Pelodiscus sinensis: one gene and its partner. The protein of the gene in region 2 purifies or fractionates together with the protein of the main gene of each other region. This does not show direct contact. Links are inferred from orthologs where the notes say so. Each region holds a gene or a part of one and is shown on either strand. Other genes may lie near its edges.

Evidence for each region. The genes of interacting proteins can lie anywhere in the genome.
Region 1: the proteins of PLN (region 2) and ATP2A1 purify together in Homo sapiens (affinity purification with western blotting, with the first as the bait; 3 studies listed by BioGRID). This does not show direct contact. The link is inferred for Pelodiscus sinensis from reciprocal best matches to the Homo sapiens genes PLN and ATP2A1.

What each region holds. Positions count from the first base shown.
Region 1 is NW_027465819.1:226,391-230,137, reverse strand, and holds the start of ATP2A1 (sarcoplasmic/endoplasmic reticulum calcium ATPase 1), read left to right. Parts: upstream 1-1,328; 5' UTR 1,329-1,511; coding exon 1,512-1,629; intron 1,630-3,747. UniProt on the Homo sapiens protein: Key regulator of striated muscle performance by acting as the major Ca(2+) ATPase responsible for the reuptake of cytosolic Ca(2+) into the sarcoplasmic reticulum.
Region 2 is NC_134713.1:84,694,187-84,697,933, reverse strand, and holds the start of PLN (phospholamban), read right to left. Parts: upstream 2,724-3,747; 5' UTR 2,580-2,723; intron 1,006-2,579; 5' UTR 934-1,005; intron 1-933. UniProt on the Homo sapiens protein: Reversibly inhibits the activity of ATP2A2/SERCA2 in cardiac sarcoplasmic reticulum by decreasing the apparent affinity of the ATPase for Ca(2+).

The sequences.
Region 1 (3,747 bases), on a different chromosome or scaffold from region 2:
GGGGATCCTGGCAGACAGCTGGGGGGTAGATGTAGCTGGGGGGCTGGCTCTTGCCGTGGGCCCGGCTCGCTGGGTGGGGGATCCAGGCAGGGGGGGGGTGGATCTAGCTGGGGGGCTGGCCAGTGCCGTGGGCCCGGCTCGCTGGGTGGGGGATCCAGGCAGTTGGGGGGGGGGTGTGGATCTAGCTGGGGGGCTGGCCGGTGCCATGGGCCTGGCTCACTGGGGGGGGGATCCAGGCAGACAGCTGGGGGGTGGATCTAGCTGGGGGTCTGGCTGGTGCCGTGGGCCCGGCTTGCTGGGTGGGGGATCCAGGCGGGGGGGGGGTGGATCTAGCTGGGGGGCTAGCCAGTGTCATGGGCCCGGCTCGCTGGGTGGGGGATCCAGGCAGTTGGGGGGGGGTGTGGATCTAGCTGGGGGGCTGGCCGGTGCCGTGGGCCCGGCTCGCTGGGTGGGGGATCCAGGCAGACAGCTGGGGGGTGGATCTAGCCGGGGGGCTGGCCGGTGCCATGGGCCCAGCTCGCTGGGTGGGGGATCCAGGCAGTTGGGGGGGGTGTGGATCTAGCCGGGGGGCTGGCTGGTGCCGTGGGCCCGGCTTGCTGGGTGGGGGATCCAGGCAGTTGGGGGGGGGTGTGGATCTAGCCGGGGGGCTGGCCGGTGCCGTGGGCCCGGCTCGCTGGGTGGGGGATCCAGGCAGACAGCTGGGGGGTGGATCTAGCCGGGGGGCTGGCCGATGCCGTGGGCCCGGCTCGCTGGGTGGGGGATCCAGGCGTGGGGGGTGGATCTAGCTGGGGGGCTAGCCAGTGTCATGGGCCCGGCTCGCTGGGTGGGGGATCCAGGCAGACAGCTGGGGGGTGGATCTAGCCGGGGGGCTGGCCGGTGCCATGGGCCCGGCTCGCTGGGTGGGGGATCCTGGCAGACAGCCGGCGGGTTTAGCTAGGGCCGGGTCTCAGCTGGTGGGGGATGTGGGGGGACGGGTCCTGGGCGAGGCCCGGGGTGAACGTGAGTCCGAGGGGCACCGCGCTGCCCGTGTCCCTTATGGCCAAGCGACAGAAATAACCCCCCCGGAGCCGAGGGGCAGGCCGGGGGATGTTTCTTGCAAGGAGCTGGTGGCCGTTGAGTGACACCTCGGTGTGCAGCCGCCTGAGCTGCTCTCCGAAGTCACCTCGCAGCCTTCCTCCGGCTGCCTCAAGTCAGCAAAAATACCTCCCTGTGCAGAATGCCATATGTGTGCCGGCGCCTGCCGTGATGTCAGGGGAGCTGCCCAATGGGAGCACAGGGACGGGGCCCGGGAGTCTGCCCTGCGGGCGCCCTCATAAGGACCAGGGCCGGCCCCGGCCCCACCGAGGCAGTGTGTAGCGGGCCGGGTCGGGCGGGCTCCCTGTGGGATACAGGCGGCCAGGAGGGCCATGCGCTGCTGAGAGCCAGGGGCACGAGGCGGGAGGCGCTGAGACAGCGACTGAGCAGGGAGGCCGAGCCAGAGGGACGGGGCGCACAGCGCGGGTGGGGCAGCCATGGAGAACGCCCACGCAAAGACCGTGGAGGAGTGCCTGGCCTACTTCGGCGTGAGCGAGCACAGCGGCCTGACGCCTGAGCAAGTGAAGAAGAACCTGGACAAATACGGCCCCAATGGTACGTGCGGGCAGCACCCCAGCCGCGAGGGGAATGAGACGGGGCCGGTGGAGAGGGAGGCTGGGGAGCCAGAAAGAGGCAGGTGCAGGGCGGAACTGGCCCAGGTGTCCGCGGAGGCTGGACACACTGTGGCAGGATGGAATGGAAGACACAGAGAGGCTGGGGAGCCAGAAAGAGGCAGGTGCAGGGCGGAACTGGCCCAGGTGTCCGCGGAGGCTGGACACACTGTGGCAGGGATGGAATGGAAGACACAGAGAGGCTGGCAGAAGCCGCCGGGCCTTGGGAAGGACGGAGAGAGAGAGGAGAGCCAGGTGCCAGGCAGGACTCAGCAGGGCTCCTGGAGCTGTCTACTGCAGCCCGAGGAGCCATGTGTAGACTAGGAGAGCCGCACATGGATGAGTGAAGCTTCATATAGGCCCAGGTAGCTTTGTATGTACTGGGGGCCTGCATATAGGCCCAGAGAGCTGCGTATAGACCAGGGGACGCATATCCCCAGAGAGATGCATATAGACCAGGAGCTGTGTATAGACCAAAGGAGCCATGTATAGGATGGGGGAGCCGTGTATGGACCAAGAGAGCCACTTTTAGGCCTGGGTAACCACATATAGACCAGAGGAACAGCCTCTAGGCCAGGGAAGTTGCATGTATACCAGGGAGCTACATATCACAGCCCATGGAGCCTCTTCTGGACCAAGGGAGCGGCATGTAGACCAGGGGAGCAGCGTATATCAGCCTGGGTGCTGCTCATAGACCAGAGGAGCTGTGTGTAGGCCGGGAGTGGCGTATAGACCCGGGGAGCAGCGTATCTCAGCCTGGGTGCTGCATATAGACCAGTGGAGCGGCGTATAGACCCGGGGAGCGGTGTATCTCAGCCTGGGTGCTGCATATAGACCAGAAGATCCGTGTGTAGACCAGCAGAGCGGCATGTAGACCTGGGGAGCAACGTATCTCAGCCTGGGGTGTTGCATATAGACCAGTGGAGCGGCGTATAGACCCGTGGAGCGGCGTATCTCAGCCTGGGTGCTGCATATAGACCAGTGGAGCGGTGTATAGACCAGGGAAGCAGCGTATATCAGCCTGGGGTGCTGCATATAGACCAGTGGAGCGGCGTATAGACCCGGGGAGCGGCGTATCTCAGCCTGGGTGCTGCATATAGACCAGTGAGCGGCGTATAGACCAGGGGAGCGGCGTATCTCAGCCTGGGTGCTGCATATAGACCAGGGGAGTCGTGTGTAGGCCGGGGGAGCAGTGTATAGACCAGGGGAGCAGCGTATATCAGCCTGGGGTGCTGCATATAGACCAGTGGAGCGGTGTATAGACCCGGAGAGCGGTGTATCTCAGCCTGGGTGCTGCATATAGACCAGTGAGCGGCATATAGACCCGGGGAGCGGTGTATCTCAGCTGGGTGTTGCATATAGACATGGGGAGCGGCGTATAGACCCGGGGAGCAACGTGTAGACCAGGGGAGTGGCGTATATCAGCCTGGGTGCTGCATATAGACCAGAGGAGCCGCGTGTAGGCCGGGGAGCGGCGTATAGACCAGGGGAGCGGCGTATAGACCAGGGGAGTGGCATATCTCAGCCTGAGTGCTGCGTATAGACCAGAGGAGCCATGTGTAGACCAGCAGAGCGGCGTGTAGACCTGGGCAGCGGCGTATCTCAGCCTGGGGTGCTGCGTATAGACCAGGGGAGCGGCGTATCTCAGCCTGGTGTGCTGCGTATAGACCAGGGGAGCCGTGTGTAGGCCGGGGGAGCGGCGTATAGACCAGGGGAGTGGCATATCTCAGCCTGGGTGCTGCGTGTAGGCCAGGGGAGCAGTGTATAGACCAGGGGAGCGGCGTATCTCAGCCTGGGGTGCTGCGTATACACCAGAGGAGCGGCGTATAGACCCGGGGAGCGGCGTATCTCAGCCTGGGGTGCTGCGTATAGACTAGGGAGCCATGTGTAGGCCGGGGGAGCGGCGTATAGACCAGGGGAGCGGCGTATCTCAGCTGGGGTGCTGCGTATAGACCAGGGGAGCCATGTGTAGGCCGGGGGAGCAGCGTATAGACCAGGGAGCGGCGTATCTCAGCCTGGGGTGCTGCATATACACCAGAGGAGCGGCGTATAGACCCGGGAG
Region 2 (3,747 bases):
TGATGTACTACATGGGATAAGAATAGATCCCTAGAGATCTATGAAACACTCATTCATTTTCTTGTATGCAGTATTTTAAAACTGTCTTTAAATATTAATAAGGAATCAGACAAATTAAAAAAGCAGATAGTTACAGCTAACAGTAAATTAAATTTAATCTGTTAAATCTGTTTAAAACTTTTTTAATGTATATCACCAATACTTCTGTTGGTACTCAACACTCATGGACTTCTACAACATGGTTTATTACCTGTGCAGGGTTTTTTAAGATTATATATAGATGATGAGCCACATTCTAATCTAATTTATATCTGAATAATTCCATTAAAGCCTGTGGATTGATTTATATCATACAAGAATCTCACCGGTTATAGCCATGGATATATTTTATAAAGAGTTTAATACAGGTTGAACCCCTCTAATCAGGCACCCTTGGGACCTGCCTGGTGCTGAACCAGAGAATTTGTCGAACCACTGTGTGTCAGTAGTGTCTAGCACCATTATCAGCACTTCCACTGTTTACTGGGCTCTTAGAATACATTTAGGGGTACATTTAGAGCAAGCTAAATAACAACACAGAACACTGAGAGCCAGGACTAGTGGCTGTAAACAAATGTTATGGGATCGTGGGAAACTTATCTACACCTATGATAAGTGGATATCCAGCTAACTAAAATCATGCCAGACTATGGACCAGCAAATGCTGGACTAGAGAGGTTCAACCTATATTGGGGATTTTTAAGTGCTATAACTTTGTGTGTGTGTGTGTGTGTGTGTATATTATGCACACAGTATAATAACTCTAACTTTTTGTTCATTTCTTAACTATAATTACTGTAACAAACTTAGTATTAACAAATCCTATCTTTGTATGGAAAGGACAGAATATTTAGTTTTAATGAAAATATTGACAAGAAAATAAAATGCTGTTACCTAAATGTCCAAAGACAAATGCCTCTTGCAGGCAAAATTAGATGTATTACTGCTCCTTTCCGGAAACAACTCCTATAACAGAATTTCATAGTCTTCAACTAGTTGTATGCTGCAAGGTTCACCTTAAGAACATCAAAGCATTCCAGGAATAGAGTTCAAACAGTGCCCTGTTCAAATTAGCACATGGATGATGTGTCCAGATACAAATATCTTGATAGATTCTTGATGAATGCTTTGCACACAGCTCTCAATGGAATTGCATGCTGTCATTCCCACGAGTGTTTGGAGAATGTATGTCTAAATACGAAATACTTAGTAAAACCTAGTAAAACTGTGGTATTTATGGATTTTATCCTAAAATGTAAACATGCATGTATGTGGTATATATTGATAGAAATACAGGGCCATGTTTTGGAACAGATACAGATTTGGAACAGAGATGGGAATTCATTAAGACTGTGTGTTTTGCAATCTCCTGATTTCTAAAAATTGATATGTCTCTCATTTATGAAAATACTTGTCCCGTGCCCAGAGCCATGCAGCCATGGATTCTTGGATTTCTCAACAAAATAAATAAACACAAAAATAGAGGGGGGAAAAGCTTAAGTGACAAATGTTCCTGTTTACCAGACATTTCCTTTATTTTACTCATTTCCTTTTTAAAATTAATTACATATATTTTTGTTCTTCATGTCCTTTATAAAAAGGTCTTATTTTAAACAGCTAAAACTGTGTCATGTGGGGTATTGGTTTGTATAGTGCCCAACACTTTTATCAATGATGGATGAGAAGAATATTTTATTTATAAACATTACCTTTGATATTTGTGAAGCTGAGCTGCATTTTCTTGCTACATATTAATCTTTTGAGACATGTATTTAAATTAGATTAATGGATTCAGAAGTTAAGATATCATAAGAAAGGTCAAGTTCGGCTTTTACTGGCCACCAGAAAAAAAGAAGAAGTTTAAAAAAATTACAGAAGTAATACATAGTATTTTTGGATTAAAATTCAAATGCTGTAAAATGATGAAGGCTCAGCGTTTTAATCTTTCCTTATAATCAGAATAGGGTCTCTCTATTTAGTGTTAATTAAAAAAATTCTTCTCTTAAAATATGTTAAGTAAGTGAACCAACTTGTCTGATTTAAGAATAGGCAGGTTAACTTTCTTTATGCTGGATTTCTAGTGGCAATGAAACTAGAAGTAGAAACCCTAAAATCAAAGGATAGTAATGTAAACTCTTGAATTAAAACTTACTTTTTGATGAGAAAAAGAAAAATTCCATCTGAGTTTTAAAACAAACCAACCAAAAAAACCAGCCAACCAAAACCAGAATGTAGAGGTGTAGGGGAAATAATTAAGACCTCTGCTGTGGTGATGTTGTTTGCTTAATCAATTCACCAAGGAAAAACTTAGTTTCATATTAAAAATAAGTTGATAATTTAAAAAAACAAAACTACCAACCTTTTTTATCCCCATTGCACTATTTTGGTTTGGAACAGTAATGCCAAAAGTGCTGCAATTTTTTTAAAAAGCAGCTTGGGTTTTATTTTAAATAAGCATTTATAGCATAGGCTGTTAAGTTTGCACAGAACAGTTTATTTTTTAACTTACAATATAATTGTAATAAGAAGCGATCCCTTACCTCTGCTGATGATTATTAGTGAATTATAGGATATTGCACTCTGAGCTGTGGGAAACTTGGTCTGGACTTCTCTGGCAACTTGTCTGTCTGTCACAAAGTTTGTAGTAACAATTGAAGAAGGCGGAGGAAAAAATAATAAAAGCTTGAGGCAGGGCTCATGATGTCATGCAGGAATTAAAAAGTTGTGATTGGTTATCAGATGGCCTTTTAATACAGGGAAGTTGCTCATCTAAACTCATGATGACAGTAATGGTAGCACTCAAAAAATGTTTGTTGGGGCTCTTTTTATTGGCCACATTTTTAAAGAAAGTGTACAGAAGGAAAACAGTCTGCATGGGCATGAACCGAAGGGCATGGGCAGTGATATGATCTAGTGTTTGCAAACATGGGGATGAGCTTGCATGTCAATATGTAGTATTTTTAGTAACTTTTATATAAATTTGTGATTAATTAAGAATACACTAGAAATTTCTTCAAAATGGTAAATTTGCTACAATGAAAAAATATTTTCCTATGATAAAAAAACGCCACTATTTGGATATTTTGCTTCCATATAAATTATATCCTTTTTTTTCCTTATGGGTCTTGAAAGTATCTTCAAAAGCTCTGAACCATTTTCATGTGTTAAAAGGGATTTACTAAGCTGTGAGAGAGCTTTTAATATTGTTATACACTTGATCACTATTCTCTCTGTGTTATGTTCTCTAAAACTTTCCTTCCCCACCACAGAGAAACTGATGCATCTTAAGGTCTCCACTTCTACAAATTAGATGTGGGGCAGGGTTTCGCCCAGATAAAGAGGGATGCTTTTAGCTTTCCAGATAGTCTTAAAATAGTTACTTCTTTTGCCCTTTACCTCAAACCAAATTATATTGTGGTCAGATATGATCGTTCTTTGTAATAAAGCACAGATAATATATTTGGTACATTAGTAAACAAAGGAAGATGTGTTTCCTGCTCTGTAAATTGTGCAGCTTAAATAGAGAACACAAACCAGATAGAAAGTCATTTGCTGAGAGAATGGTTTTGCCTTGCAGCTTTTTTAAAATATATAGTGTTTGCATTAAAATACTTTTCTGCACTGTTTTGATGAGTTACTCTTAGACTTTACCCCTAGTTAAACGAAGCCAGGTCCTGTAAAACTGTTGCAATAACTTTTAACACAACC